Oreochromis niloticus: one gene and its partner. The protein of the gene in region 1 interacts with the protein of each later gene in a pairwise test. Links are inferred from orthologs where the notes say so. Each region holds a gene or a part of one and is shown on either strand. Other genes may lie near its edges.

What was found. The genes of interacting proteins can lie anywhere in the genome.
Region 2: the proteins of pfdn5 (region 1) and pfdn2 interact in binary tests that used the Homo sapiens proteins (3 or more experiments, as listed by UniProt). The link is inferred for Oreochromis niloticus from reciprocal best matches to the Homo sapiens genes PFDN5 and PFDN2.

The regions. Positions count from the first base shown.
Region 1 is NC_031970.2:23,616,753-23,624,371, forward strand, and holds the start of pfdn5 (prefoldin subunit 5), read left to right. Parts: upstream 1-4,618; 5' UTR 4,619-4,710; coding exon 4,711-4,776; intron 4,777-5,015; coding exon 5,016-5,118; intron 5,119-5,919; coding exon 5,920-5,951; intron 5,952-6,068; coding exon 6,069-6,143; intron 6,144-6,247; coding exon 6,248-6,353; intron 6,354-7,619. Other genes in the region: espl1 (separin), read left to right, coding at 13-162, 262-429, 583-687, 886-1,001, 1,085-1,168, 2,085-2,249, 2,784-2,985. UniProt on the Homo sapiens protein: Binds specifically to cytosolic chaperonin (c-CPN) and transfers target proteins to it. Binds to nascent polypeptide chain and promotes folding in an environment in which there are many competing pathways for nonnative proteins.
Region 2 is NC_031967.2:23,683,077-23,689,971, forward strand, and holds the start of pfdn2 (prefoldin subunit 2), read left to right. Parts: upstream 1-3,874; 5' UTR 3,875-3,949; coding exon 3,950-4,030; intron 4,031-5,059; coding exon 5,060-5,148; intron 5,149-6,224; coding exon 6,225-6,348; intron 6,349-6,478; coding exon 6,479-6,670; 3' UTR 6,671-6,895. UniProt on the Homo sapiens protein: Binds specifically to cytosolic chaperonin (c-CPN) and transfers target proteins to it. Binds to nascent polypeptide chain and promotes folding in an environment in which there are many competing pathways for nonnative proteins.

The sequences.
Region 1 (7,619 bases):
TCTCACCTTCAGCAACTCTTGAAGGACATGGAGAGGTTGCTTGGATGCTGGAGAACCTTCCTTCTACCCCTTTCATTGGATGCTGAGCTTTCCAAACAGACCCAACACCTTTACCACGCATTATCTGCAAGGGGAGTGCCAGTGGAAGAAGAGATGTTGAAGGTGGGTTTTTTTTTGTTTGTTTTCGTTTCATTTCCATGGATCTTTAACATCAGCTTCTAATTGATTATTCTGACCACTAATGCCTCTGACTTGTCTTAGGTTCTGCTTTCTGCATCTCCTGTGCTATCTGAAGACGACTTGAAACAATTTGCTCTTGGAGTTTCTCCACAGTGGGACACTGAGTGTGATCAGCTTCTTCACACTGCTGTGTCCCAGCTCTTACAGAGGGATGAGCCCCGAAATCATGTGGTTCTAATCCTTGACAAGGTTGGTTTCATAATCTCTGTGAAATACTGAATTCACTTTTATAGCTAATGCAGGCATGTGTGTCACTACGAGTTGAAAAGCATCACTGCAATGTATCACTTGTGAGAAGACAAAGTATTTGCTGCTTATCAGCTTTTGTACTTTTTGCTGCAGTACCTTCAGAAGTTGCCGTGGGAGAGCATTCCCGTCTTAAAGTCTAGCTCTGTAAGTCGGATGCCTTCTCTGCACTCGCTGCTTGGACTGAGCATTCAAAAAGAGGTATGATTAAGCTCTATAACTGTCAGGTAGGACTCATACATGTATGTTAAGGCTTTTAACATTCACACCTCTCATTAACTGCAATGCTAATAAAGACATTCCCATGCCGTCAAGGATTAATGCAAAGTGTCTGTATTGCTAATGAAACAGTTGATTTCAATAGTTGCAATGTTATCGTTATTTCAATCATTCTTTTAGACTGACTCCGAGTCTATTTTGAGGCGTGGTGTGGATGCAAAGAAAGTGTTTTATGTGCTCGATCCTGATGACAATTTAGGGAACTCTCAGGAGCGTTTCAAAGACTGGTTTTGCAGGTGAGACTGAAACATGTCAGTAATTGAGCACAAGTCCATGCATAAATGTTTTTCATCAGTTCAGTTTTCTATTCTCATTAAAGTAAACCGGACTGGGAAGGAGTGTGTGGAATTGCACCTGACTTGGGCCGACTAGAAGAAGCTGTTGCTACAAAAGACGTCTACATGTGAGTTTCAGTTTTATAAGTAAAAATTAACTACAGATTCAAACCCCTTTATTGTTTGAAGATTTTTCTGTATTCAAGATTCACTTTAAAATTCTTTTAAAAAAAGGTCTCCGTTAAAAACACATTAAAACCAATAATGGCAACCTGAATGAACTATATATATCTATATCTATATATATCTATATATATATCTATATCTATATATCTATATATGAGAGAGAGAGAGAGAGAGAGAGAGAATAAAAAATAATAATAATTGTAAAAAATTAACTCTGCAAGCAGACCACTAAGCACTGTGATGGACTCCAAGGCAATACTCTCATCTTGGCAGCATCTTGCTATGGGTGTACCTGTCAGGGTTTAAGGGAAAGAGGTGAGAGTTTATCTATTAGTAAAAATAATTCAGCCACGGTCTTGTTGGAGTAGCTTGAGGACAAGTCTGCCTGTGTCTGAGTGACCCAGCCAAAGAATGAGTCCAAATCCATGTGTGCATAGCTTGTAGAGATGTGTACAAAAATACCCAAAGCTTAATGTCCTACTTGAGGGCCTTCTGGAGATAAGTAAGGGTCAGTGTGCAGAAAGTGAAGGTGTCTGGATGGTGACCCTGAGCTTTAGTGTAGATCGTTCACACTGGGACTGATTTCTTTATCAAGTGGGTGAAACCTCAAAAATAAAACTTTCTCTTTGTCAAACATTTAATATTCATTCTATTTTAAATAATGAGGGCTTGTTTTTCTTAACGTTCAGTTCTGTCATCAGATTTCCATCTTTTTTTACCTTGTATTTCTATTTTTTTTTTCTGTTCGTTTTGTGAGTTTCACTGTTTGTTTGGTTTTTTGTTGTTGTTGTTGTTGTTGTTTGTTTGGGTTTTTTTTGTTTGTTTGGTTTTTTTAAATCTATCTCTCCATGATTTTAGTTATGTGGGCCATGGAGCAGGAGCCCGGTTCCTGGACAGCCAGGCTGTTCTCAAACGGCCGCTGAGGGCAGCGTCTCTGCTGTTTGGCTGCAGCAGCGGAGCCCTGGCTGTCCGGGGACAGCAGGAAGGAAATGGCATTGTGCTAAATTACATCATAGCAGGCTGGTAAGATATCTTTGCATTTTCATCCATGTGCAGCTGAATGAAAACTGGATAACATGACCATATGAAATGCACAGCATTTCCTCTTGATGACTGCAGCAGTTATAATAGCTGATGTAAAACATTTTCATTTTATGCATTTATTTTTAACTTGTGCACTACAAACAAAGCACTTATGATTTACAATCGACCCTAAAAACAAAAATTTAAATAAAGAAAAATAAACATGCATAATAATAAAAAGTAAAAATCTGAAAATGTACTTACTGAAAGTTTTGTTTAAAAGGTCGCAATCCTGCTGCATATAATTTTTGATAACATGGAGTGTGATTTTTTTTTTTTTTTTTTTTTTTTTTTTTTTTTTTTTTTTTTTTCCCCTCTCTCTTTTTTTTAATACTGCTGTTGCAGATTTAATTAGAATCTTTTGAAACAAACTGTTGTTAACAGAAGGAATATTTGGGGATCTTATGTAAAGTATCTAGTTTGTAACATGTCTTATGGTCATCATCCTTTTGATTTTTTGTTTGTTTGTTTTAGCCCATTCATCTTGGGAAATCTCTGGGATGTCACAGATCGGGATATTGATCGCTTCACCAAGGCCTTGTTAGAGTCGTGGTTTTCTGCTGGCTCCGGGGCACCGCTCCTCGACTTCATGGGGTCGTCTCGGCAGGCCACTCACTTGAAATATCTGATAGGCGCTGCGCCCGTGGTATATGGCCTGCCAGTGCACTTAACATAGGGTGCTACTGAGGTTAAATCCTTTTTTTTTTTTTTTAAATGCATTTTGAGTATAACATTATTTTTAAACCATTGTTTTGAATTTTTTGTGTGTCAATACGTTTTAAATAACGGGATTTCTTTTAAATTTTTAAATTCATTATTAATGTATAGAATGAACTCCTTTTTAAAATATAATAAATGTTTTTTTTCACACACAATCTGTTGGTGCCCTGTTAATTATGTAGACGTGAAGCCCAGATCTGTCTCCACAATCATCAGATCACAATCTTTGGGAGTTAGTTGACCAGGAGATTGGTATCATGGATGTGCAGCAGACAAATCTGCAGCAACTCTGTGATTCTTTCATGTTAAAATGGAATAAAATTTCTGAGGAATGTTTCCAGCACCTTGCTGAATTTATGCCACAAAGAATGAAGGCAGTTCTGAAGGAAAAAGAGGGTCCAACCCAGTACCAGCAGCGTTTATTTGATAAAGTGGCCACTGAGTGTACGTTGAACCTGGTGCCTGCGATACCTGACACATTTACATAAAGCTCTCTACCTTAAACCAATACAAAAGAAAAGAATAGTAACAGTATAAAAGTGTTTGACACGAAAAATGTCTTCAGAAAGGAGCCACCCCCCCCAAAGCCCATCCTCTCGTATCACAGCTGAGTGTTTTCTAGTCACTGTTTTGAACTTTGCACCCATGGGTCATGCATGGTGTTATTTCTTTGGAATAAATTATTAGTTTTTAACAGCAGTTGGTGGATGTCTACACTTTCTGGGTGCTCTTGCAGTTTTAGTTTTATTTTGTCACAAGCACAAAAAATAAATTTTATATAGGGCCTATATCCAGCAATATTTTTCTTCTTCCTTTGGCCTGAGCAGACTGAAAGCAGATCATCTGCCTCCATCACACTCTATCCCTGGAATCCTCTTCTGTCACACAAACCCTCTGCATACCATCCTTAACTACATCCATGAATATTTTCTGTCTTTCTCTCCTCCTGCTGCTTGGCAGTTCCATCTTCAAGATCCTTTGTCTGATACATTTACCATCTTCAGTTCATTTTCGACTCTGCCACCTCCAATTCGGACTGCTGTGTTTTAGTCAGTGCAGCTATCTCCAAATTGTACATCATAGCATGTCTCACTACCACCTTGTAAACCTTCCCTTTCACACTCGCTGATATCCTTCTGTCACAAATCACCCCGGACACTTGGCTCCACCCTGCCTGCACACTCTTCTTCACCTCTCTTGCGCACTGTCCATTGCTTCAGATGGTTGACTGCAGGTATTTAAACTTATTCTACTTTCACTACCTCTGCACCTCTCTGCCTCTCTCATTCACACATATGTATTCTTTCTTACTTCTATTGACTTTTATTCCTCTTCTCTCCTGAGTATATCCTCACTTCTTCAGGCTCTTTTCCTTTCTTCCTACTCTCACTACAGATCGGTGCCATCTGCAAACACCATAGTCCACAGAAACTCCTCCCTGACCTCATCTGTCAGTGATCACCATTGTAAACAAGAAGGGGCTCAGTGCAGATCCCTGATGTTATCCCAGCTCAAACTTGAACCCATCTGTCAGCCTCACATACTTCTCTGTGAAGAGGCATAAGGAGCTGGTTCACTTCCTCACTTCTCCGCAGTGGGGCGATGTTTCAGACTAGTGACGGTCCAGCTCCATAACCCGGAAACAGCATCGCTAAAGGTCTCTTAGCATCACGCTTCCAACATGGCGGTGAATCTGACAGACCTCTCCCTGCCTCAATTAGAGGGACTGAAAACCCAGCTAGACCAGGTAGTGTGCCTAGTTTGTCCGTGTGTGTGCGAGGAATGTGTCCTTATAAAGGGCTCTAATCAGAGCTTTAAGCGTGCTGAGAACGGGCCCGGGTATTCAGCCGGCTAGCACCACTGATGCTAACAGTGCAAACCCGTTGTTGTTGATGTTGTCGGCACACCTTAACAAGTCAAGCATAAAACCATTGGTTGGTAACCGTGTGCCACTTGTTTTCTACACGTTGTTGTGTCTTTTTGCAGGAAGTTGAGTTCTTGACGTCTTCGATAGGTCAGCTCAAAGTTGTCCAGACAAAGTATGTTGAGGCAAAAGATAGCTTGAATGTCCTGAACAAAAACAATAAAGGTGAGTAATAATTTTAACTTTTGACAGCCTATTAATTCAGTGCACCTCTGGTAGATTGAAAAACATGTTTATCTCAACACTCAAGAGGCGTGAAACTGACTATATCGGCAATAACTCGTATTATTATATATTAGATGAACCGGTATTCAAATGAAATGCAAGTAGCAGCTACTACCCTGTTTATTTACTTCCCCTTTTAACTTGCCAGTTAACTGATAAATGTTATGTAGTGAAAGTGAGGAGCAGGTGGAAGAGAGCCTAGAGAGGTTTGAAAGTCAGCACAAGTGTGAATGTGAGAGAGACGGATGTAACGGTAAAGAGTAGAGGAGTTTAAATACCACAAATGTCCAGAGTTTCCAAAATGAATGCCATGTTGATGTCAGAGTAGAAAGGTCAGACTGCTTTGAGCTGATGGAAGAACAACAGCAACTCAAATAACCACTCTTAATAACTAAGGTCTAGGACATTCATCGGACGTCCTCTATTAAAAATCAACGACACATCCTGGATTATAGTGTACATGACTATCGCAGTTTCAACAAAACAAAAAAGCAAGAGCAAAACACAGAAGCGCTGAGGCACTGATCTGAGCTCATATGTACAACATCAGTTTTGCTAACACAGCGTCACACTCTAATGATATAACCAGTCATCACATTAAAATGACACTTGTTACATCCTTATTAGTTCTTATGACACCCCGCACGACCATTTCTGGCCAAAAACAGAATTCTGCTTTTTCAGTAATGTTCGCTAGAAATCTGTAGCTTAATTTGATTTATTATTTCCTCTTTCATATAGGAAAAGAACTCCTTGTGCCTCTTACCAGTTCTGTATCCTTTTGTTTGCACTGGACAGTAAGTGTTTTGCTGTGTTGTATGATGTGCTTTAAATTAAGTCATGGTTATCTTGAGCTATGCATGTTTGTCCTTGACATTCCTGTTACTCAGATGTATGTCCCTGGGACATTAAATGATGTGGAACACGTTTTAGTGGATGTGGGGACAGGATACTATGTTGAAAAGGTAAAAAAAAATTGCAATTTGAAAAGCCATGAGTGGATTATAATGAAACAAAATGTTTAAATGTGTTTGAGTCGTGTTGAAATTTCTCCTTTTTGTCTCTGCAGAACGTGGAAGACTCAAAGGCATTCTTTAAGCGCAAAATAGACTTCCTCACAAAGCAGATAGAGAAAATTCAGCCAGCCCTACAGGAAAAGCATGCCATGAAACAAGGTAACTTCCTTATCTCGGTGCACCATCATACCATGTGACATTATACTGGTTCATATTAAGCACTGTATGAGTCAGAATTCTGGCTGGGTTGTAGGGGGATCAAATACTTATTTTACTCAATGACATGCATGTTTCTGGACTTCTTATTTTTATTTTTTTCTTCAATTAAAATGAAATTATCCTAAAAATTAGATGACAGCAATTATGATTATTTTCACAACATTAATGCGGAATCTTTTTGAATACATGGTACTGATGGCTTGAACCTCAGTCTTTAAACTTTACCTTCATTTTGATCTCATCGACAAAGCTTCATGTGTGTATCTTACAGAGTTGTGATACTGTTGTGTTGACAGATTGTGCTAAATAACAACCAAATTACTAATAGTGCCTTTGCAGTTGCAGTTGTTCCCAGTACAGAAGGTGTCTTCATAAACACATTTCATCATCATTGACAAAAACATAGACTTACAAGGTGAAGATGATATCAGCTAAAAATCCATGTCCACTCATGTGATGAACCGCGTTGTCCATTGGATAATAAGTTTGCAATGCGACATAACTCCCCCACATCTTCACTGTGTCTGTGCCAGGCATCATACTCGTCCTCATTCTGTCTGTTTTTTTTTTTTAGTTCGTTTAGCCTTTGGCTTTTTTACAGTACAGTTTTTGTTTTATACACTAAAGAGTAGTGAACTAAATACATAAGTAGCTTTCATCATAGCTAGCTAATATGAATTTTGATGAATTAACCTATAAAGATGACATTTGATGACCTCCCCTGTACCCTCAACCTACTACACTAATGCTGGGTGATTTAACCCATGTGTAAGTTATATAAAACAGCATGTTAGTGTTGTTGGGTTAGTAACGACTTTACACCTTGGCATTTATCAATGAAGATGTGGTTCAACAACCATTAGAATAGTATTCAGGTTTATCCAGGGGTAACTAGGGGCAGAAACCCCCTCACTAACTTTTGATGCAAACACACTCATTTTGTTCTAATAGTCAGGAATTAAATATGACAGAAACCACTCAGAAAAGAGTTTCAAGGGTTATTCCGAGTAAGCTATGAAGGGTAATCGAGCTAAAATACAATAAAAGTCCTTCATCAAATCACCTGTGTGAATAGTTCAAATGTGAAGAAAAGCAATGTTTTCAGCTCCTCCCATCCAACAGGAACAGCATGCTAAATTAAGAAACTGCTCAACTGAAAGTCATTTGTATCCTTATGAACTGCTCAATCTTTAAATTTGGCACATT
Region 2 (6,895 bases), on another chromosome or scaffold:
GACAAAAAACTGAATGATGCACACAGAAACATGATGATCCTATTCAACAGGTTTTCGGGAATTGTAATTAACCACAGTAGTGACAATAATGGATACAGGCTAATGATGGTGGTTGAGTTTAATGATGTTAAATATATTTTGATTTGTGTTTATAATAATAATAAAAATAATGGATTGGATTTATATAGCGCTTTTCAAGGCACCCAAAGCGCTTTACAATGCCATTATTCATTCACGCTCACATTCACACACTGGTGGAGGCAAGCTATGGTTGTAGCCACAGCTGCCCTGGGGCAGACTGACAGAGGCGAGGCTGCCATATCGCGCCATCGGCCCCTCTGGGCAACACCAGTAGGCGGTTTATGGTTATAACAAAAGAGCACAGATCAAACAACTTTACTCTTCCTTGAATAAGATGTTGGAGGAATGGAAAGTGACCTATAATACTCCAACACTGAGAAAGTCATAGTTGGAGGAGACTTTAATTTGGTCCCTGACGTCTATATGGATCGCCCTCCTCCAAGAAGAAATAGCCACTATTATGAGGAGATTGTAGCTGAATTTATTACTAAAGGAAATCTAATTGATTTTTGGAGAATGAGAAATCCCAATGTCAAACAATTCACATGGTACAATTGGGCTAATAATGGTCAATGTTCAAGGTTAGACTTTGGTTAATGTCTACTAACCTGATAAATAAGGTCCCTAAATGTGAAATATCAGCATCACCCCTGACTGACCACTGTGCTATTTCAATGTCTTTTCAACCAGGTGGGGTTAAGCATATCCCTAACTATTTATGGAAGTTTAATTTTGCAATGAAACAAAAAAACTTGTTAAACGAAATTAATCTACTGGAAATGTCACCCTTGAGTAAATGGGAATGGTTTAAAATTTAAAATCAAAGAGGTTGCCATAATAATAAGTAAAGGCATCTCAAAAGTTAAAAAAAAGAAACAACATGATATTATTAATCATATGAACAGATTACGTCAAAAAGAAGACCCATCTGTAGAAGAACAAATCAAACTAAATAATCTTCAAAATCAGTTGGATAGTTTATATCTGGAAAGAGCAAAAGGAGCATTTATACGCTCAAGAGCTCGTTGGCTTGAGGAAGGTGAAAAAATACTTCTTATTTCTTTGGCCTGGAAAATCAAAGACAAACAAAAAAGAAAATCAATAAACTACTTGTTAATAATCTTAGGAATGATAGCCAAGAACAAATAAATGAGGAAATAGAACATTTCTATAAGAAATTATATAAATCTAACTTTTCACTCGATGATTGTCAAACATTTTTTGAAATAATTAGGCCAAGTAGTACAATAATTGATGAGTCTTTTAGGCAACACTTAGAATAGATAGATAAACTTAGAATTGCAGAGCTAGATAAAGCAATTGGGCATATGTCAAAAGGAAAGTCACCAGAACTGGATGGGTTAACAGTGGAATTTTATATTCATTTTTGGAATGATATCAGGGTACTGCCTTGTAATGCCTTTTTGAATGTACTTCATCTGGTCATCTCTGTCGTCTACCATGAAAAGGGGTGTCATCACATTAATTCCAAAACCCAGTAAGGACAAACTATTGCTGGATAACTGGGGACCAATTACTTTATTATGCAATGAATACAAGTTGCTAGCTCATATTTACTCCAATAGATTGGATTTGGGGCTATCCAAAATAGTGGATGAGTGCCAGTCAGCCTTTGTGAAGGGTAGAAACATACATAACCACACTAGACTGATTCTTGGCCTGCTAGACTACAGAGAATTTATCACAACAGTGTTGTTTCTGGACTTCTTCAAGGCTTTTGACACAATCGAGCATTCCTTTTTGTTAAAAGCTTTAGAATTTTTGGGCTTTGGAAGTAAATTTTGCAACATGGTTGAAATGCTTACACTGACATCAGTAGCACGGTCTCCTTGAATCCAGGAGTCATTCCTGGATTCAAGGCGCAACGAGGAATCTGACAAGGATGCCATATTTCCCCAAAGCTTTTTATATTGGCAACTCAATTCTTAACACTATTAATCAAAAATTCTAACAACATACAAGGAATATCAATTTTTAACAAAGAGTTCAAAGTCAGTTTGCAGATGATACATCTATCTTTTTGAAAGATAAATCAATGGTAGATAAAACTTCAAGTACTATCTCAATCTTCTCTAAAGCTTCCGGTTTATCTCTTAATATCAAAAAATGTGAACTACTTCCGATTCATACAAACGTGTACTGTTGTACTGTTCCAAATTTTCATTTGTATTATTACCTGTGTTATCCTCTTTGAGAGTTTGTATTTTACATTGCTCAAATACAAAAAAGAAATCTAGGTAGCTAGTGACCAGCTGTTTGCCACACACAACCTTTTGCAGCTGGCAGGTGGTGGGCAGCCCTCTTCCAAAAAAGCAAAGAGAACATATTTAGAAAACAACAAGGGGAATAACTGAGTGTACACTTAGGGATCACTTTTGAATACATAAACTTATTCCTGGGGTTTTAATTAGTGCTGTTTTTCCAGAGCCATTCACATAGATCAGACAGCCCCCCCCCCCCCCCCCCCCCACACACACACACACAACATGTGTCTTTTGTTATTACTGTGTATTGTTGTAAACACTGACTGTATAAAATATGAATGTTCATTTTCTGTATTGGAAAACCGAAGCCAAAGTGTCTTAAACCTGCATTCTGTCTAAAGACCACCAGATGCTAATTGCTGTAGTTTCAAAAACACTTCAGGTCCTATAAATGTCTATGGAAAAGCCTCTGTAAAAAACTTTCCTGCTGAGTTTATAGTCTTAGTCACTCATAAATAATATGAAAAACTCTAATGTTAAGGCATTAAAATGGGATTTCATAAAGGAATGAATTCGCCATAGAGTGTAAATAGACAGATTCTTTATTGATCACGCAAGGGAAATTGCCGTCTTGCAGCAACACCACCCTCTACAGGAAAGGGCAGAGCAGGCTGTACCTGCTGCGGAGACTCAGGTCGTTTGGAGTGGAGGGCCCACTCCTGAAGACCTTCTATGACTCTGTGGTGGCCTCAGCCATCTTCTATGGTGTGGTCTGCTGGGGTGGCAGCATCTCTGCTGGGGACAGGAAGAGACTGAACAGGCTGATCAGAAGGGCCAGCTCTGTTCTAGGATGCCCTCTGGACCCAGTGGAGGTGGTGAGTGACAGGAGAATGGTGGCTAAGCTGTCATCCCTGTTGGACAACATCTCCCACCCCATGCAGGAGACTGTGACAGCACTGAGCAGCTCCTTCAGTGGGAGACTGCGGCACCCACGGTGTGGGACGGAGACATTTCGCAGGTCTTTCCTCCCCACTGCTGTCAGACTCCACAACAAAGACTTCAACTGATCAAACACACACATCCACACATGTGCAATAACACTAATGTGCAATAATCTTTTCTGGCATCGTTGTATTTTTACTCAATTGTATATAGCATTTGTATTCTATTCTTATCTTATTGTATATTTTATTCTATTTTATTCTACTGTATATAGTATTTTATTTTATTCTATTCTGTACAGTTGTGTACTGTATTTATTCTTATTTTATTTTATTCTAATTTTTCCTTCATAACTTTTGCACTGTCCACTTCCTGCTGTGACAAAACAAATTTCCCACGTGTGGGACTAATAAAGGTTATCTTATTCTTATTCTTATAAGAAGTAAAAATAAAAATTGTATAATCCACAATAAAAACAACATAGGCAGTGTAACAATGTAATTTGAGGTCCATACAGTAATTGGTCCATACTGAAGGCCTAGTAATGTGAAGTAGTCAAAAATTTCACATACTACAGTGATTAAAAGAAAATAATACCATAATGAAAAGTCACACTTTATTTTATTCATTTCTATACAGGCAATCGCGTAAACCAGCCCTGTACGTCTTTCCTGGGTCCCTCGCAGCAACACCCTTCCAAGATGGCAGCCAACAGTAGCAGCACGGGTAGCAAATCCAGCAACAGCAGCGGTGGGAAACAGTCCGGCCCGTCAGCTGAACAGGTACCCTCCCCTCCACCTCAGGCTGCTTCACCGGTGCAATCGTTGATATTGTTGTCGTTGGGCCTTGTGCGGTGGAGTTACAGCCACCAGTTTGAGTCCCGGATAGCTAAAGCTAACGTTAGCTTCCCATCGCAGTGAGCCAGGTGTCCGGCCATCAGTCTGCTCTCTAACAAGCAGCTGGTGTTAAACATGAAGATTTAAGCGTTCATATAATGAGCTGGGGTCAGGTGTGCGCTTCTAGAGAGCGGTTTATGGCTGTTAGACGTATTTAAATGTGCGCATGTGTGTAACGAGATGGTGTAGCTGTGTGAATAGAAGATGCTATTTTTATAACTGAAGACCACCCAGCCCGACTCAATCAACGTGAAGCCACATTACTCAGATATTCATAAAGTATCTGTAATGATGAACTGAGTTTGCCGTAAAAGTCCTGCAGTGTAGCTGCTCTCAACAAAAGTATGTGGAAAGCGATTAATGTGATCAATGCAATGGTTTCATGTGGTGCTCCTGCAGGCTGTCCATCATGGATCAGTTTGCGTTTGTTGGTGTCAGCTGCCCTCTGCTGTCCCAGCGCAGCACAGAACAGCATAGAGTACGGCAGTGACCATCACAGACTCATGCTGAGCGGATATTAAAATACCTCAGTCATCTCAGAAAATAGTGATGGCTGTGTATGTTCTTGTAGAGAACTTATGTGTTTTTAGTGAAGTCTGGTTAATTGTTAATGTGAACATTCCTTGACAGTTTCCACTGGTAGAAACAGGGCTCACTGATTTTGATCACCAGGAGGCGTTTAAGTTACTTGAAATTAAAATGCCATTATTTTTATGATATAGCCAAAAAAATTACTGAAAATGTGTGAATTTCTGAGTGTGGTGAGGTTACATAGACTTTTACACCTTAACTATGTGTGGATCAGACATGCTTACATGTCCGGTCATCTCCAAGAAACGTGAATATAAAAATAACATACCATATGCAATAGCTCTGCTGGTCCATGATGGTGCTCACTCTGGTTTTGTGTGGCAGGTGGTGGCAACATTTCAGAGGATGCGTCAGGAACAGCGCAGTATGGCTTCTAAAGCTGCAGAGTTGGAGATGGACATCAACGAGCACAGGTTGGTACAAACCTTCTGATCCGCTCTAAACAGTTTACATTTACAAAGAAGTTTCATGCGGCAGTTCAAGAAAGAGAGAACTGAACATGATTTATTGATACACAGAATTCAGTTATGCTATTTGGCGACTCCGATGCTACGACAGCAGAATGAAATCCTAGTGGCGATAGACGTTATCTAGGCGTCAAGGGTCATGCCTTGACTCTAGGTCCTCATCAAATTCTAGCTCAGGTTCTAGCTCAAGTGCCCCTCCAGCTCATAGAGGATCTCAGAGCAGAAGTCCAAGATGGTGGAGTTTAATCCATCTGACCATGGCTTGCAACACACACTGGGAAGCAGCTAAATTATTTTATGGTTTTACTGCGTGCCTTCTCAAATGTTGGCCCAAATGTGTGCGCGCACACGTGTACACAGAAAAAGCGGACAGATGATAGAAAAACACACACAGCAAGTGTTTATTTCTCACTTCCAGTATTAGGAAACATTTGCATGTTTGCAAACAGTACTGATTGCAAACACTTCATTGGCACAACCGGAACAGGTAGCTGGTTTGCAGCAGTTACTTTGGTAACTGAGTTTAAGTAACTGATCTTAAAACGTTTAAATATAAAAGTAAATAAATGCTTAAATGAGGTGTCAGAAATACTTGTATGGGTATTAATATACTTGGTGGAAGACCTGATGGCTGAGTAGTTATTCCTGTTATACTTCTTTTAAGTTCACCTCCCAGAGTGGATGTGTGGTCAGTGCATGGTGAAATAAAGTCTCCGTGGATAAGTCCTTGTAGACACATGGACCCTCACACTCACTGTCTGATGATGAAATTTATGATCCTAGTGGACTTGTGGATGTGGAGGTTAATTGAGACTTATGGCCTGACGTTATAAGCATCTAAATACGTAATAAGCTCCAGGGCAGACCAGGTGGTGCATGTGAATGTAACACTGAATGCATGTCCTTAGCCGCAAATATTTCACAATCTGGGGAATCACAATGTCAGCTACCAGCTGAGGCATTCCTGTGATACCTTTTGAGTTGAATACGTTTTCTTTTTAACATTTCTGTTTTCCATTCAGCTTAGTAATAGACACATTGAAGGAGGTGGATCCATCGAGGAAATGCTTTCGTCTAATAGGAGGAGTGTTGGTGGAGAGGACAGTAAAAGAAGTTCTACCTGCCTTGGAAAACAACAAAGAACAGGTGATGGAAGAGGAAATGATAGCATATTACAGTTTTCACACTGTGCTCTGCTGTTTAATAGCTTCATATATTGTACACAGACTCTTATTTCGCTCACGATTTAATTTTCTTCCTCCTCCTATCTTCACAGATCTCCAAAATAATCGAGTCCATCAACTCACAGATGCAGACGAAGGGGCGGGAGCTCACAGAGTACAGGGAACGCTACAACATACGTTTGGTGGGAGAGGGCGAAGGAGAGGAAAAGGGCCAGTCAGCCGCTCCCTCCAGGGACAGCGAAGGAGGCGGATCCAAAAGCGGAGCCGGTGTTTTAGTTTCATAGGTAGTGAGCATGGACAGTGACAGCAGGGCCCTTTGATTTCTGCAGTGCTGAACACGTAGATGGAGTCACACAGTTTAGGTGGAAAACAAACTCTTTGCAGGATAACTCTGGATTTGAAGTTTACTGAAATCTCTGCTTAATCTAACGCACTTGTTAATTTGCAGCAGGTATATTCTGCTTCCTTATGTTCAGTGTGAAAGTTAAAGCTGTCTTATGTTTGCCTTT